Tamandua tetradactyla: one gene and its partners. The protein of the gene in region 3 interacts with the protein of the main gene of each other region in a pairwise test. Links are inferred from orthologs where the notes say so. Each region holds a gene or a part of one and is shown on either strand. Other genes may lie near its edges.

What was found.
Region 1: the proteins of PSMA1 (region 3) and LDOC1 interact in binary tests that used the Homo sapiens proteins (3 or more experiments, as listed by UniProt). The two-hybrid records come from large-scale screens. The link is inferred for Tamandua tetradactyla from reciprocal best matches to the Homo sapiens genes PSMA1 and LDOC1.
Region 2: the proteins of PSMA1 (region 3) and MRFAP1L1 interact in binary tests that used the Homo sapiens proteins (3 or more experiments, as listed by UniProt). The two-hybrid records come from large-scale screens. The link is inferred for Tamandua tetradactyla from reciprocal best matches to the Homo sapiens genes PSMA1 and MRFAP1L1.

What each region holds. Positions count from the first base shown.
Region 1 is NC_135353.1:16,896,917-16,905,784, reverse strand, and holds LDOC1 (protein LDOC1), read left to right. Parts: upstream 1-4,888; 5' UTR 4,889-5,008; coding exon 5,009-5,449; 3' UTR 5,450-6,254; downstream 6,255-8,868. UniProt on the Homo sapiens protein: May have an important role in the development and/or progression of some cancers.
Region 2 is NC_135345.1:6,191,485-6,202,408, reverse strand, and holds MRFAP1L1 (MORF4 family-associated protein 1-like 1), read right to left. Parts: upstream 5,115-10,924; 5' UTR 4,860-5,114; coding exon 4,476-4,859; 3' UTR 4,424-4,475; intron 3,927-4,423; 3' UTR 2,069-3,926; downstream 1-2,068.
Region 3 is NC_135334.1:89,909,611-89,920,431, forward strand, and holds the start of PSMA1 (proteasome subunit alpha type-1), read right to left. Parts: upstream 4,298-10,821; 5' UTR 4,170-4,297; coding exon 4,167-4,169; intron 2,784-4,166; coding exon 2,739-2,783; intron 2,474-2,738; coding exon 2,372-2,473; intron 2,254-2,371; coding exon 2,150-2,253; intron 212-2,149; coding exon 123-211; intron 1-122. UniProt on the Homo sapiens protein: Component of the 20S core proteasome complex involved in the proteolytic degradation of most intracellular proteins. This complex plays numerous essential roles within the cell by associating with different regulatory particles.

The DNA.
Region 1 (8,868 bases), on a different chromosome or scaffold from region 3:
TAAATATAAATTCCGTGGAGAAAACAGTCTCGGTTTTGGTTCTATCTTTGTCATACTGTAGCATTGCCAGTGCTCAGTACAAGTACCATCATTGCTGGTAGAAAGTAGGGGTATGTTCATGTCCGTGTGAACACAGATGCTAACCCAACCACGCAGACACACACATGCATATGCCTTTGGACTGTAGGCTCTTAACATTGTCAGTTCCTCTGATATGGGATTCATGCCTTCATCTTTAGAATAGCCTCAGCTTCTCCATGTTTCAGTAATCTACTGCCATGCCCCAAACTATCCCCAAACATTCTGGTTTAAAGCAACTGCCATCGCTCAGGATTCTGTTGATCAGGAATTCATTTAGGGCCTAGCTGGATGGTTTTAGGGTTTTTTGTATTTCTTTTTCCTAGTCATCCATTCCCCTGCCTTCATGTAGGAGAGCCTCATGGGAACCTGGTAGCTTGTGAACATGAGCATAAGGGTTCTATAAATCCCGTCCACTAATATTATTCATCTCTTCCCTATTGCTCCCCCAGCAGTCCCTGTTCAGCCACCTGTCTTATCTCCTTCCCCCCAAGCAAGGAAGCACCTCCCAAAGTCACTTCTCTGCTCTGTGTCCATTTATGACCAGGGAATTTTCTGTCTTCCAGGATCTCAAAGCACCTATTCTAGCTTCTTCTCTGACTCCCTCTCTGCCATGGGGCTGGAGGAAGAGGACGAGAGCAGCATCAGTCGCCTCATCTGTGGTCCCCAAAAGACATGCTTGACTCCCAGGAGCCCAGTGCATTAATTTTGTCCAGTGGAAAGGCATGTGCTTTAGGGTCAGAGAGGCTGGGTTGTGGTACAATGTGGCCAATATTTTTGAGTCCTGGTGTGTTGGTTTGAAAGGATTATGCACCCAAGAAAAGACATGGCTTAATCCTAATCAAATCTTGTGGGAGCAATGTTTATTTATTTATTTTTTTTTAAAGGAAAGACAGAGAGAAGGAAGGAAGGATAGAAGGAAGGAAGGAAGGAAGAAAGGGAAACATCTTTTAAACATTTTCTTGTTTTATTGTATTTTGTTTCTCTTTGTTTTTGTTACATGGGCTGGGGCCGGGAATCGAACCGAGGTCCTCCGGCATAGCAGGCAAGCACTTTGCCCGCTGAGCCACCGCGGCCCGCCCAGCAATGTTTATTTTAATCCATATTCAATAATGCAGGCTGGTATTCTTTGAGTAGATTATCTATGTGGAGCTTTGACATACCAATTATGGATATTAACCTTGGTTTAGAGGGAGATGTGACTCCACCCATTCCACGTGGGTCTTAGAAGCATTTTGGAAAGAACCATGGAGCAGAGAGTCCAGGCAGCCAGAGACCTTCAGAGATGAAGAAGGAATACACCCCCGGGGGAGCTTCATGAAAAAGGAAGCTTGGAGAGAAAGCTAGCTGACATCGCCATATTCACCATGTGCCTTTCCAGTTGAGAGAGAAACCCTGAACTGTATCAGCCTTTCTTGAGGGAAGGTAACCTCTTGCTGGTGCCTTAATTTGAACATTTTTATAGACTTGCTTTAATTGGGACACCTTCATGGCCTTACAACTGCAAACTTGCAACTTATAAAATACCCCATTTTAAAAGCTGTTCTGAAATGCTAGTGATCAATGAAAGGGAGGGGTAAGGGTTGTGGTATATATGCATATTTTTTCTGTTTTAGTTTTACTTCTTCTTCTGAATAGATGCAAATGTTCTCAGAAATGATCATGATGATGAATATGCAACTATGTGATGATATTGTGAATTACTGATTATATATGTAGAACGGAATGATCAAAATAAGAATGTTTGCTTTTGTTTAGTGTTTTTTGGTATTTAAAAATGAAACAATAATAATAATAATAAACAGCTGTTCTGTTTCTGGTATATCATATTCTGGCAGGTAGCAAACTACAATACCTGGCCTTAGCCAAGTCAGTAACTCCTGGGTCTCAGTATCCTTGTCTAATAAGAATAGGGTGTAGTACCCACCTCTGTAACATGGCCTTTGTGCATGGGTTGATTTGACAGCCCAGGTCAGTCACACGGCCCAGTACCTGTCACAGCTTGTGTGTTCCTGGGAGTAGAACCCTGGGCATTTCTTCCATATCAGAGCCTGGACCTAAAAGGTAGAGCTGGACATTTGCCTCTACCCCAGCCAGGCTCTTGTCTAATCTGACCTGTGAATGTGCAGGATGGCCAAAAATCTTCCCCCCAACATTTCAGATCCCTTTATTCCATCCACTGAACATATATGGCACACCTAGTAACACTTTCAGATGATGAAGATGAAAGGATGAAAGAGAGAGGGCCTTTGCTCCGCCCTCAAGGAGCTTATGTCTAAGGGGGGAAGGGGTAGATCATATCACAGGAGGGCTAGGGGTTCACATTCCCACTTACTTCTTCTTTTCCCTGCCCACCCTCTCTCCTAATGACTCTTCTTTTCCTTGCTACTTGAAACTTGACCCTGTTTCTCTCCTCTCTCCCAGCCTCGCTTTTCCAGGGGTGACCATTCAGTTCTATAGCAAAAGACTGAACAAGGTTTTAAAATATCCAGTTGCAATTTTTATTATGCCAATTCTCACTTCACGTTGGAATGATTCATGATTACAGATAGAACATATGGGATAATTTAAAGAGTATTTTTGGATACTGTGCAACCATCACTTCTAATTTTTATCTTTACACCTGTACCCTGAGCTTCCTTCCCTACCCAAACATTCAAGGAGCACCTATTCTGGGCCTTAGGTTTTTCTCAGCTTTAGGGACAGTTACAGCTAACAAAGCAAAATCCCTGTCTGCATGGAATTACATTCTAAAGGTGGAGTCATAAAATGATAAAAGTGCTACATAATATGATGGCCACTGGTGTAACTAGTGCTATGTAGAAAAATGAAGCAGGGTAAGTAGCAGAGGGCCAGGCGTTCCAATAGACGGAGTAGTCAGGTAAATCTACTCCAAAACTAACTGGGGAGACATCCTTCCAAGGTAGAGGAAATAGCAAGAATGAAGGCACTCAACTCAGCAGGTGAACTCACTGCCCTCCCTCCCATGTGTGGCATGACTCCCAGGGGTGTAAATTTCCATGGCAACGTGGGACAGAAATCCTGGGATGAGCTGGCACTTGGCATCAAGGGGGTTGGGAGAGCCTTCTTGACCAAAAGGGGGAAGAGAGAAATGAGACAAAATGAAGTTTCAGTGGCTCAGAGATTTCAAACAGAGTCGAAAGTTTATCCTGGAGGTTATTCTTATGCATTATATAGATATCCCTTTTTAGTTTATGATGTATTGCAGTGGCTGGAGGGAAGTACCTGAAATTGTTGAGTTGTGTTCCAGTAGCCTGGATTCTTGAAGACAATTGTATAAAGATATCACTTTTACAATGTGGCTGTGTGATTGTGAAAACCTTGTGGCTGATGGCTCCTTTTATCCAGGATATGGATAGATGAGTAAAGAAAAGAAAGATAAAAATAAATAAATAATAGGAGGGCAAAGGATAATATAAATTGGGTAGATGGAAATACTAGTGGTCAATGAGGGAGGGTAAGGGGTTTGGATTGTGTGAGTTTTTTCTTTTTTCTTTTTATTTCTTTTTCCGGAGTGATGCAAATGTTCTAAAAACGACCATGGTGATGGATACACAACTGTGTGATTATATTGTAAGCCACTGATTGTACACCATGTATAGAATGTATGTATGTGATTGTATACCATGTATGGAATGCATGTGTATGAAGATTTCTCAATAAAAATATTTACAAACCAACAAACAAAAAGAATCAGCTAGGACAGTGTGGTTAGAGCAGAGCTAGGGATGGGAAGAGACTGGAGTGAGTCAGAGAGAGCCAGTGGCCAGTCACTGACAAGTTAGTGCCCTGGAGGCCATCCAGGACTTTGATTTTTATTCTGAGAGGGGAAACTGTTGGAGGGTTTTGAGCAGGGTGGGTGATGGGATATGACCTTTGTGCGAAGGCTTTTTGTGGCTACTCCGTGAAGAATAGACTGTCAGAGATCAAGAGTGAAAGCTCAGTGATCATTTGAAGCCCTCTGAGTAAGAAACGAAAGCTTGAATCAGGGTAGTGGAAGTGGAAGTGATAAGAAGTGATTAAATTGGCGATTTATTTTAAAAAGCAGAGCCAAAACGCTATGTGCATTCTAAAGTCGTGGGCCAACTGAATTGCTCAACAAGTTTGAATGTGATTATTCAAAGAAGAAACGCAAAATCATTTAGAAGCACAAGCAGCTTATTCATTGCTAAGAAATGCATAATACCCGTGGTCGAGGGGCATTACTAATATTAGACTATGAAATAAAGTCTGCCTGCAAAAGATTATCAGATGCTGATTTTGCAGAAATTTTTATACCGCACTATTAAGAAAAAGTTAAAAAGGAGGAAGTGTACAACATTATTTTCTAACTCCAGAAAAGTCCCTGCTTAAATACCGTTTTCTTCATGTCTCTGTAAGGATTTGTGACTCCCGCAAGACAAGCACTTCTGTGGTCAGTAGGGCCAAATCGATAATCTTCTGGGTGAGTCTATATTCAAAAGCAGGGAAATGTGTTAACAGAACTTCACGCAAATGGAATCTGGTGTCCGCAGATGCACGAAAGAAAACTGAATTGTGCGAGGCAGTCGAAGGTGCGGTGGGATGGCTAATCTTTTCAACTTGAGCGGGTCTGCCCTCTGAAGTAAGGTCTTCCTGCCCTCTGGGTCCTTGGGTTCCAGCAGGGCGCCGCTTCGGGGCTTGGCTGCAGTTCAGCGGCGGTTCCCAGGGTCGGCCGGCCCCTCCTCTGACCACACCCTCCTCGCGCCGGGCTGGCGCGCCGACCGCCCTTGAGGCCTTGTGGGCGGGGCCTGCGCAGCCGCCTGGCCCCCGGCGCGCACCACCCTCCGCCCTTCTTGGCGGCGCGTCTCGGCGGACACGCACTTCCTGCGAGGCTTCTGTGTGGACCTTGACCGAGCCGAATCGAGTGGACCCCTCTGAGCGGTTCGCGATGGTGGACGAACTGGTGTTGCTGCTGCACGCCCTCCTGATGCGGCATCGTGCTCTGAGCATCGAGAACAGCCAGCTCATGGAGCAGCTGCGGCTGCTGGTGTGCGAGAGAGCTAGCCTGCTGCGCCAGGTACGTCCGCCCAGCTGCCCGGTGCCCTTCCCGGAAACGTTTAACGGCGAGAGCTCCCGGCTCCCCGAGTTTATCGTGCAGACGGCGTCTTACATGCTCGTGAACGAGAACCGGTTTTGCAACGACGCCATGAAGGTCGCATTCCTAATCAGCCTCCTCAGCGGGGAAGCCGAGGAGTGGGTGGTTCCCTACATCGAGATGGACAGCCCCATCCTTGGTGATTACCGGGCCTTCCTCGATGAGATGAAGCAGTACTTTGGCTGGGATGACGGCGAAGACGACGACGATGACGATGAAGATGACATTTACTAGGCCCAGAGAGCCCAGGGCCTAGGGTAGGGGGTTAGATGCCCCCGCACGTCGCCGCCACCCTCCTCCTCTTCTCCTTCCTCTCCTCTTTCCCCTCTCTGGAAGCCGCCACACTCCTCTTCTTGCTCTGGCCCTCTTCCCTCCCCCTGCCCAGTCCCCTCGTAGAGCTTGCCTTTGTTCAAAGGAGTGCTCCAGTTACCTGCTGCTCTGAAGTGCTCTACCTGCCTTTCCACTCTGCCAGCCCCAGAACCCCTCCCCTGCGAATATGGACTGTGTCCTGAGCCCCAGTGGTGGGCCAGGTCCCTGCGACACACTGGACAGACAACACCACAGCGGTGCTGCTGCCAGGCCTGCATCTGCCCAGAGACCTACGCTGCCACTTCACCTGCACACATCACATCGCCACAGATCATCGCCTTTGGAGATAAGGACCAACCTCAAAGCTGCCTGAGTTGGCTACACCTCCTTGGACGCTGATTTGGACAGCCCACCAACCCCAGAAGAGGGCTAGTGTTTCAGCCTGTTTTGTTTCCTACCTACTCCCAGAGTCCTCCCCTGCCCCACTAGATTGCTGCAGGGGCCTCGTATACGTGGTAGCCAAATCGTGACATTCTTTTTCTCCTGCGCACCCAGTCTTGCACACTTGTCATTTTTCTTCCAAAATTGCAGCGGTCCCACAGATGTATGCATTTGGACAAAAAACTAAAAATAAACCAAATGAAGGAAAACAGGCTCTCAGCCCTCCTCCTCAGTGCTACCTGGAAAAAACCTTTTCATTCTTTTCAATAAATATCAAGCACTACTAAAAAAAAAAAGAAATTATTGTCTCTTAATGATTAAGTGCTATCACTGATCTTTCTCCCTTCTACTCTGGCTTCCTGTATTCCCACTGAGATCAGGTAACCCAGTTTGGTTACAGCATTCCTTACTGTCATCTGTAAGGCATGGAAGACAGCCACCACGGGGCTTTATAGGGATATTGGTGCTCTCCTCACCAAGGTATTTCTTAAAGCCTTGGTGAAGGGAGTGTCCTCTGGGCCCTCTAGGGTGGCATGGGTGGCTGATAAGGTGGCACATCATCCCACACACGGACAGTTTAGAGAGTGAAAGGGGAGGCTATTAATAATTAGACTTGTACCACAGGCGTAGACCTGGATACATGTACAACATTCCTATTTCCTTGATCCCTTTTGGATTCCTTTCTCAACACTGCCAGGGAAGTTCTGGACACTACTCCTTATTGCTTCTGAGCTGCAGCTGAGTTCAGGCTTCAGTTATCCAAGTAACATTGTTTTAATGCTATTTTCAGGTGCTTGAGTTAAAGCTTGGATAAGTCCACACCTGTGATTAATATAGCCCACCTTTAACATTCAGATACCCTTAGATTCCCCTTCTGTACATGTGTCCCAGATTCCTACCTCTACAAATTGGCAAGATGCTTGGCTCTCTCCTGAACTGAGCCTTGTACTACCATCTGGACTCTGCTGGGCTGCCTTTGTGGGTGTGGAGGGCTCGGAGGCCATGAGGGTTAGAGTGGGCCCTGAGGACAGTCTGATTATCTTTGTGAGGCAGTTTCCGTTGATGAAATCATTGAGTTCAAGGCAGAGAAAAATTGTTGGAAGTTTGTGGGGACTACCTCTGACAGCCAGGACGCTTCAGGAGCATTTGATGGGTCCAAAGTTCTCATCTGTATCTGCCCAAGCCCTACCTTAGACCTATACTTAAATTAGATTATACATTTCTTTGTTGCTTAAGGCCTCTTCTTTCTTTCTTTTTTTATACAGTTTTATTGAGATACATATTCACATACTATATAATCATCTAAAGTACACAATCAATGGTTCACAGTATCATCGTATAGTTATATATTATCACCACAGACTTACACATTTCCTTATTACTTAAGGCCTCTTGAAACAAGAATGGTCTTTTACTCTTACTCCAAGCATCACACAGTCACTTCCCAGGTATGGGAAGTAGGAAGAAGGTCAGAGATAAACAGGAGCAGAGCAGACTTAGTAAGTAGATACGAGAGCATGACAAGAACCCATTTATTCTTTGCCATCTGAAGTGGAGCCCGAACAAAAGCCACTTCACCTAGTGAATGGACAAAGTCCAGAACAAGAGTGATTTCTAGGGCTGAAGACAGCTGTTTGTGGAGACAGAGGTGGATACATCTTAGCAAAGGAGGTTGAGGCCTGGGTGGGGATGAGACCTGGGGCTCTTTGGGGAGCTGCTTCCTCCAAACCTGAATAAAAAGTACTACTGGTTTGGATTCGTCCATCACTTCTGGTAGCACCCAAACACCCCTTGGAAGAGATGGCAGATTAAATACGGGACATGATATGTATGAGGCCAGATAATCACATTTTTCCCCCTCACTAGAAAGACGTTGAAGTGGAGTTTGGGGAAGGGGTGAACAAGAGCTGAAAGTTGGGTAAGGGACCCAGTGAGACCCAGAATCAGCCATTAATTCAACGTTTATCCATGTGAGGAGCTGGAGATATGCTGGTGAATGAGATTGCGGTCCTTGCTGTCAAAGTGGTTCCAGTTTTATGCTTACGTGGTGCCTTCCAGCTAGAACGATGATGGTATCTATCCACAGGCCAGGCCCAGGAAGGGCAACTGGGCTGTGATTGAATCTGGGAGAGACCTTTCTGGGCTGGAAGTTGAGGACATAGAAATAGATGAAAACTACACTCCACCACAAGCCAGGTTAGCAGATGGTCTGTGAGGAAGGAAGACATCTCTTTCCATCACTGAGGAGACTGCCAAGGCAGCATATGAGCTGCACCACAGAGCTAGGCCATGGAGCATTGGGATCTGAAATGTACATTTCTTATACAAGAAGTGTTTGGTAGCAGTTTACGTTACTGAGGAGACCAAGGATGTTTCCTACTTATGCCCACTTACAGCTAAACATAGATAGCTTTTTGGCATCCTTTAACAATGCTTTAAATGATGCCCGTAAACCTCCGCCTGCCCTAAGGAAAAGTCTATCATCTCCCTTGGGATATTTTTGTCCTCCTGCTTGAAATTCCTCTGTCAGAATTTGTTCCTTTGTCTTCAAATTGTCCTGAGGCTTTTAAAATATTTCTACACAGCAATTATCCAGGGGAGGGTAACAGCTTGCTCAAAGTAATTATGAACAACATGGCAAGATTTGTTATTGGAGCAGAAGCCCTCCCCTGGATGAGTTGGGAGGTGGGTAATGAGATGCTGCAAAGGGTGGTTGAGAATAGCTAGATATAGTAATATTTGTACATCCCCTCTCTTCCCTCACCAGTTGTATCAGTTATGATCAAAAGCAAATGCATTTTTCTTTTGATAAACTCCACAACACTTTTATACCTTCTCCTCTCCCTCCCTAAATTACCAATAAGTTCACCTTCAGATTGTGATAATATACTCATATTTTAGTC
Region 2 (10,924 bases), on a different chromosome or scaffold from region 3:
TGAAATAGGTGTTAGAAAGAGTTTGTTGGGAGGTGAGAGGAAGGCAAGTCAGAAGAAAGATGGAACATTCTGAGGAGGAAAGTTTGAGAGAGAAGACCAAAATTTTCAGCAGTGACTGAGGAAAGACAAGATGAGACAGCTATAGGGAATGGCAGAAACTCTTGAATATTTATATACTACACATGTTGAATGAATGAATAACCTTAGTACTTATCTATGGTAATGTACTATTTGATTTATCCCACTGTTTCCACTAGAATGAGGCTCAAGAAGTGCAGAACTTTGGACCATTTATTCAATTGTCGGTCCCCTAAATATACTTTAAGAGCTAAGTAAGTGTTGATGAATACACTTTTAAAAACATCTGTGGCAACAGGAAACTTTAAAGGGTTAAGCAGGGAACTGTCTAGTCCAATTCACTCTTGGTGCTCTGTGAAGAAGGAACAGGATGGGGTGAGACTGAGAGCAGGTGGGCCAGTTAGGAGGCTATCACAGTGGTCTGTAGTAGTTAGTTGATGTATTCTAGAAGTAGAATCACAGGTTTTAGTGATAGGATGTCTAAAGGGATTTGAGAAAATAGTATCAAAAATGATACTGCAGGTTCTAGCTCAGAAACTTCAGTTATTCGCATTGATAGCAGATACATTTGAATTTTTTTAACTTAAATTTACATACCCACTGGCACTTATTCATTCAACAAGTATTTAATAAGTACCAACCACATGCCAGTCTGCCACAGGTCTATGTGCTAAGAATTTGGCAGTGGTCATTGTCCCTACCTTCAAGGAGCTTACAGTCTATAGGAATGAGTCAGACAATACACAGATAGTAACCAAAATAAAGAAGGACGATGAGTAATAGGGATGGCCCTGCTATTTTATACAGGGTAGCATGGGAAAGTCTTTTGGAAAAAGTTTGAACAGAAGATTTGAAGAAAGTGGGGTAATGAGCCAAGTGGAAATAAGGCATTCAAAATGTTTTCAGAAAAACAACAAACTTCTCTGACAAAGTATTGGAACAAAACATTATTAAAGACTCAGTCACGAGAAGCCAGACAATGCAAAGTGAAGACTGTTCCTTGGAAGAAGCAAAGAATTTCAAAGCAAGGGGAGTTTGGGTATGACTGATTGATGATATATGAAAGACTGACTTCAGAACTACCGACAGAAGGCAATCAAAAATTTCTAGCTGACTTTCAAGTTGATTAAATTCTACTAATATATGATTCAATTAAGGGAAAATTTATGAGTTACAACAAACAGGAAATACAGACAAAATCCTGATATTTTTGTATTATCACTAAATTGCATTTTTATCATAAGCATGGGATAAAACAATAGTCTGACACAACAATGCTCTGCGTAAGCCCAATGGGCAAAAACAATTCAAAAGGCTCTTTAGGCTTAGACTCCTAAAGAAATGATGTGTAGTTAATGAAGGGGAAAAAATATACACTCTGTATTTGTATAAATACACACACACACACACACAAATATTCAGCTTTATCCTCACTGTTCCCCACCCCCATTACCTGTCTTTAAATCAGTGTAGCTTACAACTGAGTTTCCTCAATTAGGACCTGCAATGTCCCAAAGAAGGGCTGCTCCTTCAGCTAGGCATGTAATTAAGAGGACAATGGGGAATTAAAAAAGAGAGGACATGGAGCAACTAAACTGCAATGCCCATGCACGAGTGAGAAATAAACCTTGGTTGTTGTATGTCATTAAGATGGGGGTCAACTGTTAGTTTATCATAGTCCAGTTGATAGAGAAAGACACCATGTCTCAACCCTAGGAATACAGTTAGTCTTCCCCTCTTCTGCTCCAGTTCAGGACCCCCAAGTCCCATCCGTATTTCTGCACCATCACCATCTTCCTCCCTTCACTCAAACTCCCACTAATCCACACACCGCAGTTGCGTTAACCTTTCTAAACCACAAATGCGATCGTGATCATTCCCCTGCTCAGAAATTACCAATGGCTGCCAGAAATACTTCTCCCTTTGTAGTCAAGAACCCAGAAAGCCTGAGGCATGAACAAGATTCTGGAAACCACAACCCAGGCCAAAATAGCTTCTATAAGATTTTTATTGTGCTCACATATTTTATTTTTTAAATGACAAGTTTACACATTAATCCAAAACACATACCAAAGCTCATTATGATGAACATATATTTGGTCTTATCTACCATCAAAATTTCATTTAGGAATTCTGGAAATGACACCATGCCTTTTCTATGGCTTTTGCACATCCAGTAGCAGACTAAGAAACTGTCCAGAGTACAGTTACCTCAAAAGTATAGGCTTATAAAGATGAATAAACTCTGCTTGCCTCTTCCACTTCATCTCCCACAAGTACCTCCACATTCTGAAGTTCCAATTCACTGGCCATCTCCTGTGGGCTGGAACTCCCCAGGTGTTCGCTCACATTGCTTCCTGTGCCCCATACACCTTCACTTATTTCTACTTTCAGAAGCTGTACTCAACATTCAAGGCCAAGTTAAAACACTTGCTCTAAAAAGCTTTCCCAGACTCCCTCCTCAGTGTTTCCACAGGAGCACACTCTATTGTTATTTGTTTCCATTTCTGTACCACACACCTCGTGCCAATCCATGAATTACTTTTATATTCAAAATACTTTGCCCAAAATAGGGAGCACATCACATTCCCACGGACTGAGTGACTAAACATGCTTGCACTGCCGAAAAGCAAGAGTTTGGCCAGAAGTTTCTTCTTCTTTTTTTTTTTGCATGTGCAGGCACTAGGAATAGAACCCAAGTCTCGGGCTTGGCAGGCGAGAATTTTGCCGCTGAGCCATTGCACCACCCCAGAACTTAATTTCTTCTAAGAATGGAAGCGTTTTGTCATCTCTTCCCTGTATCATCTTCCAAAAGTAATTTTCCCTCACAGAAAAAGGCTTACTGAAAGCCTCATAAACTACAGCAGTTTACCCCCTTTTGATGATGCCAACACTCAGATAAGAATATCCATTTCAAAAGAAATTTATTTATAATTCTTTAATTGACACACATAGAGGATTTGGCCATCTGAACAAAAAGAAAATTTCAGACAAAGGCTCTCTAAGTCTTGTTTTTCAAGGCAAACCAACACATTCCACGTTTGATTTTGCCCTCAACTCCATCAGGTCTATTACCCTGATGAACTAGAAAGGACTTTATGAGCCCTAATGATGCTTTTTCCTTTCTCCAGACTCTCCACACTTCTGTAGATTGTCTCTTTAATGCTATACTCTGAAGCCCCTATAATGTGTTGAGGGCATCACAATGGTGAAGCACACCCATCATTTTATTCAAACTTCTATGTCATAAACTTCTGAGCTAGGTTGTCTAAATAAACTCACCTGACAAAATACACAATATATATCAGACCATGTGCTACACAACATAGCTCTCCTCCTTTGTTTCATACAGGAATTAAAGTTTCAAAATATTTACAAATCCATCTTCCATCTTCAACAGTCTTCTAGTTCTTCCCAGTCTGATCCAAAGCAATCTCGTTTATACATTCTTCACCAGATGCAACCCAGCAGTGCTTCCCAGTGCACCTCTAAAGTTGGAAGATTCTGATCACAAGTCTTTACATGTTCCAAAGTTCCAGAGAGCAATACTAGGTCATGCCCAACATTTCAAAAACACAGCAAAACAACAGAATAAATGTGACCACTGAAACAACTTTTGATTAAGCCCCATTCCCCTCATGAGAGTATTTCTCAAACAAAAATTATTTTTACAGATTCAATTACATCTGACAATACAAACCTGTATCAAAGTCATCAACCACCGACCATGAAGGAGACTGTTACATGGGGGTAAAAAACATTCAAAAACAAAACAGTAAAAATGACAAGCTGTTTCAATTTCTTCAAGTCCACTCTTACCCGCTGACCAGAGTCCATCAGCTGTGAACCTAAAGCACAATTGGAAGAAATTTACCATCAAGACATTCTGAGTCTCAGATTTCCATATCCTGATGTTTAAAAACTTTTACAAACATCTAAAGAATGTCACTTCTTACAGACAAGGTGCTGCCACACACCCGTCTTCCAGAAAAATCTGGGAATTTCTATCTCTCTCTGCCTGTGTTCTCACCCACCCTCCCCTAGTTTGCTCTAACAGCCTGGTTCCCCGCCTCCCCCTTCCTTAGCGCGGAGGCAGGTGTATCCCCGGCGACTGTACTACCACAGCTGACGCTTATGTTTCAAGAAAACGAACTTGAACTTTTCTCTATTACCAGAGCGGGAGGAGGAGCTTTACAAAACAGTATCTACTAACAGCTAACCAAACGAACGCATTTATTTTCCCCATCGCCCCCATTCCCCATCTTTAATGCAGCAAAATTGGGGGACCACTCCCAGAACGTTACCATTTTTAGAGGATGCTGTTTAATCGTGCTATGACAATTACCGAAACATCAATCCAGCTCCCGCCGGAGGCCGGCCACACCGCCACTCCCCCTTCAAGACGATTCGCTTTTCTCTATTCGCCAGACTAGCTCGACCAACATCTCTGCCATCTTCGCAATCTCTTTAGCCTTTTCCTCGGCCTTCTCACACAATTCCGACACTCTCTCATCGGCGTCTCCGTGTGGGTTCTGCACGTGATTCAAAGCGCTCTCTTCCGACGCCTCCACCTGCGTTTTTATTTGGATGAGCATATTGTCCATCTCCCACAACTTGCTCCTGGTCCTCAAATACGCTCTTCCGTGCTCTCGTATGAGCGATGCGATGTCCTCCCGCATCTCGTGGATGACTGGAAGCAGGAATTGCTCGAAATCTTCCTCCGGTTCCAGCAATTCGACCTCCTCGGGGGCTTCCACCTCTTCGATGTCCAAGGGCCGCATGTTCTCCCGCTACCCCTTCAGAACCTCAGTATCGACGTCCTCCTCACGCGCGCCCCCCCGGGGAGGGCTGATCACGTCGCTGCCGGACTGCAAACCGTGACCAGAATTCCCGGCTTACCCTTAAAACGCTTCCTCCGCTTAAACCCTTCGATTCACAGCTGGGACGCAGAGAACGCCTCGCAGAAACGCAGCGAAGCGGCCCACAAAATGGACTCGCCGCCGTCAACCGGCGCTCTGCGTCTTTGCGGCCCTTTCACGACACGGCTGCGGCCCTTTACGGTCACGCCTCCAAAAAACTCAGGGCTTGGGCGCGCGCACGTAACAGGATCGCGGGTGTGCGCATGCTCGCCTCTCTTCTCCGCTGGTGCCCGCTCCATCCCCTCGGGGGGACGGGACGACCGTAGAGGTTTGCTCGGCACGTCAGAGGCGGCTTCTGTGGACGGATTTTTACTTTTTTAAAACAATATGTGCTCTCGGGCCATGCTTTTATTATTTAAAAAAAAGCAATATATGCAAAAGCAATCCCACACCCCCACCCCACCCCGTATTTGGATAAGACTCCTTGGTGTCCCCAGCATTCTATGGGGGCCGAGCAAGCACTGCTCTGAAGTGCTTAAGTTACGCTGAATGAACTCACTTAACCCTCACAACAAACCCGTGAGCTAGGCCCACAGGTGGGGACGTAACTAAAATCCAAGCTCATGATTAGCATTTGAACCCCGAGCAATTTGGGTCCACAACCCCTGTTCTGAGCTACCGGATTATGCGCCCTCGCTGGGACAAAGCCCTTCAGCCCAAATCCGTGGATGCTGATAGCCCCTTTCATTCCCCTCTTCTGTACTGGAGAAATTTCTTTGACTACCTGGGTTACTATGGTCTGTTTTTTTGGTCTCTCTTCATCAGACCAAAAGCTCCCCAAGGGAAAGGTTCACTTTTGGTTCAGGTCTGCGCTCAGCCCCTGCCGGCAGCCTGGCATCAGGTAGGGCCTTTCAGAATGTTTAAGAGAAAAGGAATTTCTCCCTAAATTATCAAGTGCTTCCGTGAGACTGTAGGCTCCTGGAGGGCAGTTCTGGTCTTGGTCACCTGTGTGCCCCCACCCGCAGGACCTGGCGAACAGCTGAGTAAACGTTGCTTTCATATTCATTGACCATGTGATTTGATCACTGAAAGTGTGTCATTGTGGGATGGATGACGTACATTTCTAGGCTTGTCACCCAATGTCACACTTGGAGTAATTTGGGGAAATCCCGCTTGCTTGCATGCTAAAGATAAGAACATCAGTTTTCCAGTCCCATTAAAGGCCAGTGATCCCAGTCTTCGTATCTGTCGGTGGTGAGAGGTGTAAGTGAAACAACGTGCATGCAAATGTTTTGCAAACCTCAAAGTACTAGCAGATGTAAGTGTGCTTGTGTATTATAACTCTGCTTGTGTAAATTGTAGTGCTTGATATCAAAGATTTTGGAGTCAGAGTAATCCAGAATTAGCTCTAATTCTTCCAATTATTTGCTCTGTGGCTTTGGACAAGCTGGATAACCTGAACATACCTCTCTGGGTCTCTTTCCCCCTCTTATCCTAAGGTGGGCATTGAGGATAGTGATTTCCTAAGTAGGGGACCATGTGGCCCAATATTTTAAAACTCATGTCCTGGTGTGATAATTCCCTACTCTAAAAAGTTTCTGGTTTGATAAATTAGCCTTTATTAAGATTATGAACTGCTGTTCATCAAAAGGCACTATCAAGAGAATGAAAAGGCAAGACACAGAGGGCAGAGAGATATTTTCAATAAATATGTCTGACAAAGAATTCATACTAAAAAATATTGAGAAGTACAACAGATCAATAACAGAAAGTTAATTATTAAATTGGCAAAAGACTTGAGCCAGGATTTTATTGAAGAGGACATCCAAATGGCCAATAAATATGAAAAGGTGCTCAATTTCATGATTCAGCAGGGACATGCTTATGAAACCACAGTGAGACAGCACTAGACATCCACTAGCATGGCTAAAATTAAAACCACTGACAATACCCAAGTACTGTGGTGTGTGTGTGTGTGTGTGTGTGTGTGTGTGTGTGTGTGTGTGTGTGTGTGTGAAATATGGTACATTGAATTGTGTTCCTTGCAAGTCCTAACCCCTGGTCCTGTGGGATTAATTTGTAAATAGGATCTTCAATGATGCTTTTTACATGAGGTTAAATCTAACCCAGGTGGGCCTTAGTCTATTGTGACTGGAGTCCTTATGAGGAGAGGAAGTTTAGACAGACAGATGATTGAGCAGCAAGAGAAGAAGCCAGAGGAGAGGGCAGAAGGAAACAGATTACCATATGTTCTATTTACTAAGCTGCTGAAAGCAGATACCATAAAATGCTCTGGGGCGGGGGAGGGGGTTGCGGTACAAGGGTAGCTCCATGATAGAATTCTTGCCTGCCATGCAGGAGTCCGGGTTCGATTCCCCGATCCTGTACTTCCCCCAAAAACAAACAAACGAAAAATACCTCCTTTAGGGCCTAGAACATCAGCTAGTCCCATCTCCCAACCCCATATTATTGACAGCCCCTTCCAACATAAAAAAGTTAGAATGGCCATAGCCCAAATACCCCTAAAGATTGGGATTGAAAGATCAGAGGTGATGGTGGAGTTAAACAGAGAAGGTAGAGTTCAAAAAACGATTATGATTGCTGAATAATATCGATATTTCTTTCAGTCTCCAGTATCTTAGGATAGTTAGAAGTAAAAACCCAAAACTGTGGAATTGCAACCCATACCAAGCTCTGAAATCTGTTCTACAACTAATTGTTGTGCTGTGATTTGAAATTTCATTGCTTTTTTTCTGTTTATGTTATTTTTCACAAAAAAGAAAAAAAAGTCAATTATGATTATAGAAAATGTATATTTATTCCTTCTAGCCTCCTATATTCTGGAGCAGCTAGAAGGAAAAATCTGAGAGGATGGTAGCCCGTGGCAAACTCTGGGCTCTCTTGTTGAAGAGTGCTTTGAAAACTATTGCTTTTTTCTTTCTTTGTTTTGTATATATGTTATAGTATACAATAAAAAAAAAGTTTTTAAAAAATGCTCTGCCTCTATCTATGGGAACTTATTAGCTTACAGGCTTACAGTTTTGAAGCCATGAAAATTTCCAAATCAAGATGTCATCAAGATGGTGCTTTTTTCCTGAAGACTGGCTGCCAGCAATTGGCAAGGCGCGTGGCAGTGTCATTTGGTCTCCCTATTCTTCTGAGTTTCTTTGCTTTCAGCTTCCTGTTTCCATGGCTTCCTCTCTCTTTGTCCAAATTTCATTCTCTATAAAGGGCTCCAATAAGAGGATTAAGACCCACCTGAATGAGGTAGGTGATATCTTATTAAGATCCTACTCACCAAAAGATCCTACCCACAGTGGGCCCACAGCCGCAGGAATGCATTTTGGTGGGTACAGCTTCAAATCCTCACGCCATGGGATGGAGCAGAGATTGAGCCAGCACCAGAAAGCTACAGCTTCAGAGAACACATAGCTTACCATTACGTCAATTCTGGACTTCTTGCCTCCAAAATTGTAAGACAATAAATTCCTATTGTTTAAGCCAACCAGTTCATGATATTTTATTTATTATACCAGGCCTGACAAACTAAGACATGGAAGAATTGGGCTCTCGTACACACTATTCCTGGTGGGAATATGCATTGGTAAAACCTTGGGGAACTGTTTGGCAGGACCTGTTAAGGTTAAGCATATACCAACCCCATGACCTAGTAGTTTGACTCCTTGGTACATACTCAAAAGATTTTGAATTCCTATGTACACAAAAAGACACACACAAGAACACACATAGCAGTTGTATTATGAGCCCCAAAGTTGAAATAACCCAAATGTCTATCAGCAGGAGAATAAATAAATTGTAGTGTACTTTTTCAGTGGTATATTAGTTATATATTGCTGTGTTACTAGTTATCCCCAAATTTAGCATCTTAAAACCACAAACTTTATCTCACCTGGTTTGTAAGGGGCTGGGGGTCCCTCACAAGGTTGCAGGCAAGCTATTGGTTGGGGCTGCAGACATCTCAAGGCTTGACCAGGGCTGGAGGACCCACTTCCAAGATGGCATATTCATGCGGGTGTCAGAAGCAAGCTGGCCAAAGGCCTCAGTTCCTTGCTTTGTGCTCTCAGATGAGCAGTTTTTTCAGACTGCTTCCTTTTTTAAAAAAATTAGGAGGATCAAAGCTCTCTTCGTTTTGCACTGTCTCTGTCCCCTCCAGTCCAAACTATAGTGTTTCTTCTAATATAATTATCTTTAAAATATCATAGGAATTGGTAGAGTCATTACCAGGGGCTGGGGTGGGTGGGTAGGGAATGGGTAATTAATGCTTGAAGTGCTCAGAGTCTCTGTTTGGGGTGATGGGAAAGTTTTGGCAATGGACTGGGATGATGGAGCCCAACAATGGGAACATAATTAATGGCACTGAAACATATATTTGAATGTGACTAAAGGGGGGAATTTTAGGTTGTGTATATGTTACTAGAATAAAAATTTTTAAAAAGTAGGACTGTACAACACAACGAACCCTAACGGAGTCCTTGGACTATAGTTAATAGTACAATTACAATAATATTCTTTCAGTTGTAAAGAATGTAACACAATAATGCATGCTGTTAACAATAGGGGGTATATGGAACTCTGTATTATCATTTTTATGTAAACCTACAAATCTCTAAAAAAAGGAAAAAAGAAAGAAAAAGACACCCTAGGACTCTTCTGAATCTCACTGGGGTGCACTCCATTACACAAAAACCCACACCTGCAAAACCTTCTTGGGCTTCTGCTGATAATACTGAGGAACAAACTCTTAAAGAGTCCTAGAGGAGGCTATTTCACAGGGAGAGGAGGAGATATTCAGATCCTTGTAAATGAGGAAATTTCCAACGCCATGAGAGTGTGACCAAGACAAGACACATATTCAGAAAATTCAGGAGAAGATACCACGCTTTCATCTCAGGCCGATCTGCAGTTTCATTGGCAGGAGAGTGAAACTCTGAAGCAGAGTAACAACCACCACAGAACCAATTTGCAAAGACTGTGAAAAATGGTTTTCGTGATGCATTTGTTTTTGTTAGCTGCTGACATGTAAGAAAATCTCTGTCATATCACTATCTGGGTTCGGACTTAAGGAACAGACAGATCAAGGGCTAAATTCCGTTGTTAGCACATTAAAATATTAAAATGTACCAAAAAACCCAAAACAAACAGGAAACTATGGCCCATCCAAAGGAACAAGATAAACCATCAGTGATTTAATTAGGTTCTCTAGAGAAACAACCAAAAGGAGATATCTGTAAATATAAGATTTGTAAAGGTGTTTCATGCAAGAGTAGGAATGAGAGTCCAAATCCACAGGGCAGGCTGCGAGGCTGGCATCTCCAATAAAGGGTCTTGATGAACTCCATAGGAGAGGCTCGCTGGCTGAAGATGCACTGAAAATTCTGTCTTCTTCCTTAAAAGTCTTCAGCTGATTGAATCAAACCCAACTGATTGGATTATCTCCTTTGCCAGAGACATGCCCTTAGTTGATCACAGATGTAATCAGCCACAGCTGCAATCAACTGACTCATGATTCAATAAACCAGCCTTCTGGCTTATCAATCAGCCACTAAATATCCTTGCAGCAACAGTTAGGCTAGTGTTTGCCTGACCAGACAATTGGATATCACCTAGCCAAGTTTCCACCAGAACCTAACCATCACAATCAGAAACAATCAACAAAGAATTTTCTATTTTCTCTGTAAAAGGGAGATGCCTGGAGATGCCTAGACTTATGCCCCTGAGGAGGGGACCCTCACACACCTGAAAGAAGTGTAGGACCACACTCCCAGAAGACCTGTGTTCTCTAATATTTAGGAGCTGAAAAGCGAGTATGCGCTAGAAGAAGGGAAGCTTTACGTTTGGCCACAGTAGGTCTCAACAGAGACTAAAGATCAAGGCCAGTAGAGGAGACACTACTGTGGGAGCGTACTCAGTTCCCATGGGCCGGAGCCAGAGGCAACTGCCTGGAATGTCAGTGCAGTACCATGTTT
Region 3 (10,821 bases):
TTTAAATATTATTAAAAATTAACTAACTTTGTTATATATTATATTCTGAATAACTAATAGATGGATTACATATCGAAACCCTTTAAAGGTCATGCTTATAAATGCTAACATAAAAAGGATACTGCTTCCAATTAGAGAAACAAGACGAGACACGGGAAGAGGTCTGTCAAATACAAATCTGGAATCCAAACATTCCTGGCGCATGAAATTACTAAAAAGGAAACAGGATTTTATTAGTAATTTCAAACCTAAGAGTTAATCCAATCTAAATAAAATAGTTTGGTTTCATTTTTGCTTCCTTTCATCGTTTATATGGATTACCTCTGTATAAAGAAATCAGAAAGGTAAGAGAAACACAACCATAAGAATACATTTTTGAACCAATGTCTGAGACGAAATGAGGTTTGTAAAAAGACTAAAGTATGTCTTAGCTCTAGAAAACCTTTGTCTCAGAGCACTTTACAGAATAGAGAAGAAAGGACTGAGCAAGAGAATAAAAACAATCGCTCTTCTCTTATCCTTCCCACTGTCAGCAAGTTTGTCTTAATTCTAGCTCTTGAACCAGCAAAAGAATACCTATATTGCTTTTTCTCTGAAAGCAGACTAACATTTCCCCAGTACAGCAATTATGAGAAATAGATTCCATATTAGAAGACACCTTAACATGTTCCTGCCAACGTTACGTCTCTCTGTAAGCAGAGCTTTAAAGGAGAGGCTTAACACTAGACTGTAGTCTCATCATTAAACCTGCCAAGATTCACACAAGAACACTGGGCAAAGGGGATTTCATGCCTAACTATTAAAGCCAAGAGGATAAACAATAAGAAATGGGTATGCTCCTTTCTTTCCATGTTGCTTTATCCAATTTATGCGTATGTCATATTGCATGATCAAATTTTAACCAAAGGCAGCAAACTATTCAAAACTTTTATTTAAGTCCATTTTCCAAGGTGTCTAAAACTACACTGTCCAACATGGCAGCTACTATCAACCTGTGGCTGATGAGCACCTGAGAAATGACTAGTCTGAATTGAGATATGCTGTTTAAGTACAAAATACACATCAAATTTCAAATACTTAGTAACAAAAAAATTTATATTTTCTCCTGTTTCTTTTGACTTTTAAAAGATATAGTCACCAGAAAATTTTAAATTATTTATGTAGATTGCATTATATTATTTTGCAGGGTAGTACTGGTGTAAAGGGTTTTGCTTGAATCCCTGTATTCGTGAAATGTTTGACAATGTAACACATTCTACATTTTCAAGAGTAGATGGAAAAGTACAATGCTGTCAAGATGACTTAGAGCAAGGGTCTGGCTGGATAACTTGAAAATTTTAAACATCAGCATTACTATTTTGCCTTTAAATTACTTTCTTAATTAATCATGGACATGAGTTTAGTTTAGCTAAATCTCACCACCACCCCCAACATACACATGTTCACATACTACTTGAAAGGCACTATGTTAAGTGCTCTACAAGTTAGGCTGTTTAAAAATAATCTTGAGAAAGAAAATACTGAGTAAAAAGCTACATGATTTACAGAGACTCCAGCTCTTCATTTATATATTGCTTCTCAATTAGAAAAAAAATCTCTAGCTCCTATGGACTCTAGTGGAAATTTATCTGTTACTTTTACAAAACTCACCACTTTGCACATTGTATCATAGACATTATACTTATTATGTAGAGTTAAGTTAGATTTTAAGCTTCTTGAGAACAAGATCCTTGTTTGATTATTAAGTTTTGCAAATAATAAAAGTCTAATAAAAATTGATATATGGAAGAAACCAAGGGTGGTTCAGTTCATTCTTGGAAACTAGAGAAAAATTTCAAGCTTGTCTTAAACATAGCATTATTAAAATATTAAAATTAATATACACTGATTTAACAAGCATTACTTCATTCAATGACTTCTCAAAAGCATATTATTAATATGGCTAATTCTATTAGTTACTACTACAGGGATGGAGAAACTGAATACTTAGTAAATCAGCCCAAGCACTAAGGCATTTACAATCTTTATACACCTTTTAGCAAACAACTTCCTACAACACTTTATTTGGATCTTTTCTAGAAACAGAGAATAATCAATTATAAATCTAAAGGGAGTGTTTCTTTTTTTTTTTTTAAATAACCATACTCACCATAGCAGTCTAGCATCAGCAGTAAGCCCCGCAATTGAGATACCAATATGGTTGTCAACATGGAGAATTTTTTTTTGATGGGCTGCAAGCTCTGATTGTGCCCTCTAAATAAAAACATTATAAGACATAAAGACAAGTTTACAACTTTACCGTGTATACAGTGGACTTTACATTTCGTAGCTATGTTTTTCAAAGGAGAAGACAGATTTGCTGTTTACTTACCTTCAATGCAACCAACACTGCATGGGTTTTTGATTTCAGACCAACTGTAGCTGACCCTTGCTTGACAGCTTCCATTGCATATTCAATTTGATGAATCCTGCCCTAAAGAGTGGAAAAAAAAACCTCACATCTCAGAAGACACATTTATAAAGTAAAACCTAATTTAGAGCTCTCAAAACTCAGGCAAGCATAGTTAAACCTCAAATAATTTTTTTAAAACCAGGAAATTTAATGATAAATAAAAGTTCCAGGATGTCTGAAATGATTATATTCCATTTTCTTACAGTATCCAATCTTATGAATCTCTAAACATATTGCAGCCACCAAAAGTCACGTCATAGAAATGGTATAAAATCTATTATTCTACCTGAGGGCTCCAAACAGTGACATCATTGTCATACTGGTTGCGAAACTGAAAGTGAAGGAAAAAAAGAGCTATTAATATAAGAACATTACAAATCTCAATTCTTAAAATGTGCTATCATTAAGAAATAAATGTTCTTGAATCCTCTGCATTCAACATTAACCCAAGTCTATTAACGTAACCTTATATAAGATCACTACTGTGTTCAGTTGCAAGACAATCCCACAAACATTTATGAGGAGGAGGTGGGTTGGGGATGGGGAAAGAAGAGGAGTGTAGGCAGAGCTGGACAGAACTTACTTTCCCAAATTCCTATTGTACCACTCTCCACAGCATATATTTTTAGGTTGAATACCAAAGTTCATAACTGTCAACTTTCCTTTATGTTTTTGCTTATGCATTCATTTACCCTGGGCTCTAATAAATCCCCCCAACCCCTACTTCTTCCTTAAATCAGCTCAAATATTTTAATCTTGAATTCTCCGTCTCTCCAAAAATCTCAGCACACGCTCCCATAGTTCTTTATATACACTTCCTTTCTTTTTTCTATTATGAATAGGGGCATGTCCGACTTCTCTTTGAACTCCCACTACATGTAAAACAGTGTTTGTATGTGTAAACACATAAATATTAATCAACAAACACAAAAATGTCCTCAGGAAGTTAGAGGTGGACACAAGTAATTACAGCAACAGAACCATTACTATTATAATGATGGTATTAAAACAAGTCTAGAAGCATAGTACTGGAGAGAACAATCACTGGGATGAAAGGATTGAGTGCTGCCGGAAAGGCAAACACACAACTGGAAGCCCAGAGCCCTATCATGTAACCCTCATTCTAGCACTCCGGCTCTCACTCTTGGTTTCCCATCTCTAAAACTAGTTTACTGGACAAAGTGATTGAAAAGGGCCTTTTCTGATTAAGCCCTAGGGATGAGAATAATTATAAATCATAGGGATATGATAAATCATTCATTCATCATTAATGATCATTTCCTGGTCCACAAGGAAAATCGGCGCCGTTCAGGAACCCAAACTCTGAGTCAAGTTCTCACTGGGGGTACTGGGGGGCCTCCAAGACCCTATTTTCTCCTCATCTCTCCCACACAGAACACGAGAAGCCATACTGGACCGTTCGGGATTTACTTCACTGAAAGACGCTGAAGGGAAGACTGGGCTAGCTGATAGAGTAAGGAACTGTCCCAGACCACTGGGAAGCGAAATAAGTCCCGGGGAAAAGGCCGCAGCGGACCGACTCTCGACCGGCCTGGCCGGAGATGCTGAATCACTGCCCGGGCCCTCGCGTCGGCTCAGGCTCCCATGCCCCATGGCCCCGGTCCGCTCTGAAGATGACAGGAAAGACGGTTCGACATCTCCCAAGCCACCGGACCTCAAACCCAATCCTGCTAGAGCTGGAGACTAAACGCACCATCGTTCCTGCGCGGGACCGGCTGCGGCCTCCTGAAAAGCTCCCGATCGAGGCGCGACGCCGAAACTACCGCTCGGCGGTCGACAGAGAAGTCTGCGAGAATTTGACCGCGGCAACGCAGGGCAGGGCAGTCTATTCCAGAGGCATCGATAGACCTTCACCACATCCGGGACTTCAAAGCTGTCAGGTCTCTCAGGGATGGGCGGGACTTAAATTGATCAAGGAACTGAGATTGGCCGGAAACCTGGCCAATAGTGCCTCCGGCGCCTAAGAGCAGCCGGGCAGACGCTTACCACGTTGACTTTCTCCGATCCGCCTGAAGTTATCTGTGCTGTAACCGTTTGCGTGTGTCAGCCATAGCCTTTCTCGAGTGTACATGCTTAACCCTCTATGTTGAAATACTCTTCCCAAAGATGGATAGTCATCTTTGAAGGCTGTTGTCATTTATCACTCTTTATTATAATTGTTTCCCCCACCAGACTGACATTCCGTGAGGGTGCTCTTGTATTTCTTTTTCATGTAATTCTCTGCCCTCAAAATCAAGCACCATGCCTGGTAGAACAGGCTGCTGAAAAAAACATATTTTTCTCCACATTTACAAATTTTCTCTTTTGAAAGCATCTTTTGATAAATCCTTAAGTGAATAGCTCCGCAGACAACCGCCAACCTAATATCTGCCCACTGCTAATAGTGACTTATTTTCTTTATACAGAATAAAGGCTAATACCTAGACTCAGGAAAGGTAAGAGGTGAAAGAGACCTTAAGTCCAATCTGAACTTTGCAGATGAAGTCACAGATTCAGATCACTTAACGATGACTCTTAGGTTCCCAGCAATTTAGTGTGGGAACCTTGGTCCAGTGCTCTTTCTTCTCTAAAAGGTCTGTCGTTTTTTAAACGGAGGGTCTTTTCATTTAGCTGCTTTCAAATGTCCCTTTTTCTTTTTTTTTTTAAGTTTACCTTTTTCTTTTTTTTTAAGCTTACCTGCTGTTAAGGATTTCAGTATACTTCTAAATGACTTTTTTCTTATTTCAAACATGAAACATGATCATTGTAGAGAATTTAAAGGAAAATGAAAACAGCTGACTCAGAGATAATTACTATGAATATCTTGTTGAAGTTGTTTCAGATTTTGCTTTTAATTCTTTTGTACATGTATTTATTATCTTTTACCAGCTTGTGACAAAAAGGAACATAGTTTTAAAACTTTTTCCACTTATTTATTGTGAATCTTTTTCCATGTTAAACATTTTCCATGGTAAACATAATTACCTAATATTATGCATTATAAACATATGATATTTTATTTACTCAAATCCTTATTGTTGACTAGTGTCAACCACACCCAGCGACTGCAGTTTAGCAAAATGGAATACAGCTGGCTCATCAAGAAGGCGCAGGCAGGACCATGGAGAAAGAATTCACATATGGAGATTATCAGAACACTACAGAATGGCTTCTATTCCACAGAAAGCACTGGCCTTAAGTGGCTGAGATCTGTGGTTCTGTGTTAGGAGGTCTGGTTCATAAAGTAACTCAGGCCCAGAACTTTGACTACACTGAGATACACAACTTCTCTCAAAATAGAGTACCAATTCCTGTTGGACAATGGGTATTTGGGTTCCTGAATGACTAATCCTGTGTGGTGATGCAGGACAGATTCCACTTTCATGAAGGTTGCCTGCTCTGGAAAGTAACATTCCGAGTGTGGGTTTTCTGACTTATGGGTGAGAATCCCTAGTAATCACCAATGCAACTGGAGGGCTCAACTCTTAAGTTCGAGGTTGAAGATATCATGCTGATCTGTGACCATATCAACATGTCTGTTTTCTCTGGCCAAAACCCTTTCAGAGCCCCCAATGATGAAAGGTCTGGCCATCATTTTCCTGCATTGTCTGATGCTTATGATCGCAATCTGAGTCAGAAGGCTAACTGTGCTTGGAAACAAATGGGGTGGGGGAGCAGCGAGAGCTACAGGAAGGCCCCTTTGTGATGGTAGGGGGCCCCAACTTTGAGACCATTGCAGAGTCTCATCTGCTGCAGACACTGGGACCTGATGTACCAGAAGTTATAGTTGCATGGCACTATGGACTTTGAATTTTTGGCTTCTCTTTCACCATGAACACGGTCATCATGAATTATGAAAGCTTAGAGAAGGATAATCATGAGGAAGTACTGGAATCGAGAAACAAGCTGTGCAGAAATTGGAAAAGTTTGTCCCCATTTATAGCTGGAATTCCGTCCTCTGGCATTGCCATTTGACCAGCCTTGGAGCAATGTGGTATCTAAGTAGCTGCTATCTTGTTGGGGTCACCTTCCTCCCCCCTTAAGGAGTAGCAGGAAAGAGGAGGATCCCTATCCTCCTGGTGAGCTTCTCTCATCAGACCGTTTTGGTGCCAGTTCCTGTTTTGTTCATTTATCTTCTCCAAGGAATTTCCATTCTTGTTGATCCCCCAGAGCTGGAGCCTGTACCCTCCCACATGTCTGTGGATATTCCCATGATTTGACTTCGGCCTTCAAACTTGACATTGTGATTGCTACTAACTTTAAAATGATGCTTTTACATTTCTGGGGACTCAGTTCTGCCATCCCCTTAGCATTGGCGACCACACAAGGACCAAACCCAAACCTCTCAAACTTTAATGTCATTTTTTTTTTAATGAAAAGAAAGATGTATGATAAAAAAATCTCTATTGTTGAATATTAAGGTTTTTTTATCCCCCACCTCCCAGGCATCTCATCTATAAGCTGTTTTATACGTATATAAATATATTTATATAAATATGTGTATTATCAGCATTCATACTCTTTTCTTTAGAATAAATTCCTAAACATGAAATCACAGAATAAAATGAAATGCACATTTTAAAGGCTTTTTATAAATAGAGCCAAATTGCCCTCAAGGAATATTTTATTAATTCATATTCTCAACAGTAGTGGATGAGATTGCCATCGTTTTTCTTTTTCCCTGCGTGGACTGGAAATTGAACGTGGTCTCCCAGCATGCCAGGCAAGCATTCTATCTCTGAACCCAACCATGCATCCTGAGGTTCGTTATAAAATCACCAACACTGACTGCTCATTTTACAATTGCCATTCAGTACAGAAACATTTTTGCAATTCTTTTCCATATGTATATACATGCCTCACACACACATATATAATAAATATACTTTTTTTTTTTACAAATAAGATCACTCTAAATTGTTTTATACTAATACATTTTAAAAGTTTGGGCCATCTTTTAATTTCGTTAAGTAATTATATTATTTTTAATAGATGCATAGTATTCACTGTGTGGAAACATAATAATAGCTTATTGGTGAGTAATTAGGTTATTTACAAAATTTGCTACTCTAAAAAAAGCTATAATGACTCTTCTTGTACATTTGCTTATTTTGTTTACTTTCCGGATTATCTCCTTATGATGAATTTATAGGCATAGAATTGCAGGTCAAAGGTAACCTACATTTACAATTATGGTAAATGTGGCTAAATGGAAGAATATACATTTATTTTCTACAGTGCTTCAAAGTCTACTTTCTTTATATCCTTATCAACATTTGGTATTGGATTTTTGCCTATATCAAATTGATGGGGGTGGCACCCTCTTCTTTTAATTTTCTTTTTTTTTGCTTACTAGTAAAAAATCCTTTCATAATTCTTGGCTATTTGTATTACTTGAGTGAATTGCCACTTCATTTTTCTTCTCAAGTTTTTATTGACGTTGTGCTGATTTGAAAGTATTATGTGCCCCAGCAAAGGGAGGCAAGGTTTCTTTTAATCCTGATTCAAAAGTGCAGGGTGGAAACTTCTGATTAGATTATCTCCAGGGAGATCTGACATGCTAATTGTGGGTGGTGATCTGACCCCACCCATTCCAGGTGGATCTTGATTAGTTTACTGGAGTCCTTTAAAAGAGGAAACATTTTGGAGAGAGCTTAGAGCAGAGCTGATGCAGACGCTTGGAGGGCAGTTGTTTCAGAGCTGACAGAGCTGATGTGAGACCTGGACATTTGGAGATGGGGGGCTGGCAGACGTGTGGCCCGGTGGACATGAAGCCTAGTGACATGGAGCTCGGGGGGCAGCATCACATGCCTTCCCATGAAATGCTGAGCAGGCCAGAACCCAGAGTTGTGTCCTGGAGGAGCTAAGTGAAAGCCCACAGATAATGGATCAGGAACCCCCTCAGGAAACAGAGATTGAAAGCACCAGAGTCCAGGAGCAGGGAACCAGCAGATACCAGCTACCTGCCTTCCCAGCTGACAGAGGTATTCCAGACCCATTGGCCTTCATTGAATTAAGGTTTCTTTCCCTGGATGCCTTAGTTTGGACATTTTCTCTGCACTAGAATGTAAACTTGTAGCTTATTAAATTCTTGTTTTTGGAAGACATTAGCATATTGCATTCTGTCAACTTAACAAACTAACACAGATGTGTTAATGATTTTCCTCATTGATTTGTTTGTACTTTCTGCCATTAGGTTACTGTGTTACTTTTATAGAAGGAGACTGTTGTATACAAAGAAAAAAAAAAAGAAACTGAAGCTGGCCTAAGTAAAGTTGGGGGAAGGGTAAAATTGTAAACATATAATAGGGAATTACATAAACATCCAAAGATAGGGATTTTTACTGTTTTTTACTGGCTAAGGTCTTCCTAATGCCTGGAACAAAGCGTGTCATATAGTACACACTCAATAAATACTTGTTTAATGAATAAATAAATCTCTGATTCTAAAACCTGTCCTTTTGATTATTTCCTAAGCACATATCTGGGGCTTTGTGATACTACCTTCATTCATAGTGATTGGCTGAGTCTTCAGAGTGTCTTTTATGAAAGCTCTACTTGTAGATAACTGGAGGGTATTTGGTTGATCTTTTTGTCAAAGCTGAAGGTCCTAGTTACTTAACTAAAGTTTTATATGGCTTTCAATTCCTCTATGCATATTTTAGGGATTTGGCTCAGGATACATCTTGATCCTTAACTAGGAGCTGAAAAATTGATCAATAAAGATATTTTGTAGGAAACTGAGCCAGCAAAAATAGCTCTAATTCGTTCATTGAAAGGCCATAGGTAACTCATGTCAAGCTTTTCTAGAATCAAAAAAAAAGAATTCTAAATGAAAGCCAAGTTGAAATTTTTTCCATGACCATGTAAATCTTGTGTCATGCTATTTAGAAAATGTACCCAATACATTGAAGAAAATGAAATGTATAGGGTACAATTAGAAAATAACTTATATTTGCTCCGACAGTACTTATGGAGTTGGTTCTTCCCTGCTCCTTTTTGAGTAGTCTGAACTCAGTCTTATTTGATTTCCCTTGTATGTAGTAGATTGTTTTTCTCTTGCTGCTTTCAGGATTTTCTGCTTCTCCTTCAATATTTGACAGATTGATTAGTATTGCCTTGGGGAAGGCCTATTTGGATTTATTCTGTTTGGCATGTTTTTTATTTGGTCAACAGAGTCTTTAATCTCTGATTTCTGCAATTTTTCTATTTATTCTTTCAAATCCCTCTTTGTGCTCTTCTACTGTGTTCTTGATCTCCTTTATGTCATTTGCTATCCCACTTATTTTATTAAGTAGAGTTGTATGAACAGCTTTAATTAGTTGTTCCAACGTCTGTGTCTCCTCTGGTATTTTAATTTGGTCATTAGGCAGGGCTATATCTGTCTGCATTGTGATATTCTTAGTGATCTTCTGCTGTTTTACTGGCATGTAAATATCTTGATTGATTTGCTTTGGGAGTTGATTTCTTTCAGTCATCTAAGGCCTTGAATTTGCAGGATGGTTGTACAGCAGGGAGCAGGGCGCGGGGTGGAGAACTCAGTGCAGTGATTTGCTTCAGGGCAGGTATGGGCACAGGTTGGGGATGTTACGCTGATGCTTGTGAACATGGGCTTCCAGTGGCCAGGGAGGATATAACTGTGTGGGTGCCCTGGTCTGAGGGGCGTAACCAGGGCTGTGCCCTGGTGTGTGCTGGTCTATGGCATGGGGCTCTCTGTGCGCAAATGTAGAGCTGTGGCATTACGTCTTTGTGGATTGGGGATAGGGGATAGATGTGACCTGGCTGTGCAGTTTGGCATTTTCTCAGAGCTGGGAAGTGAGAATGCATGTACAGTTCTAGGACTGCTGTAAAGTGCGGTTCCCAGAGCTGAATCACGTGATTGGGGCCCTGTGTATGTGTGGGCCTGGGAGTGCCATAAATGGATGTGCTGAGCTCAGGGAGGGTGGGGTGAGGCTCTGTGACACCATGTGGGGGGGGGCGGTAGTCTAGGTATGGAGGTTAGTGCCCACCACCTTTATGCACTGGCAACAGCCTTCAGGGAACAGGGAGGGGGAGGTTGTGCTCGTGAGGGGTGCAGGAGAGGTGGTTTGGGCTGCATTTGGGGTGGGGTGTGGGGCAGGTATGTGTACTGAGGGCTGGCGGGGTTGGGGCACCTGGATGATGCCCCAACATTACAGATGATGGGGTTCAGGTGTGTGGGGTGAGTTGCCAGTTACTGGGCTCTGCTGGTGAGGGTAGTCCACCCAAGGAACACGGCCTGGCTTACTTCTTAGTCCCGTGTTCCCGTCCGTGCACTCCTGTGGGCTCTGTGGCTCCACGAACCTCTGTGCCAGGCTCCAGCTTTCTGCCTCTTATTCTCGGCCTCTGCA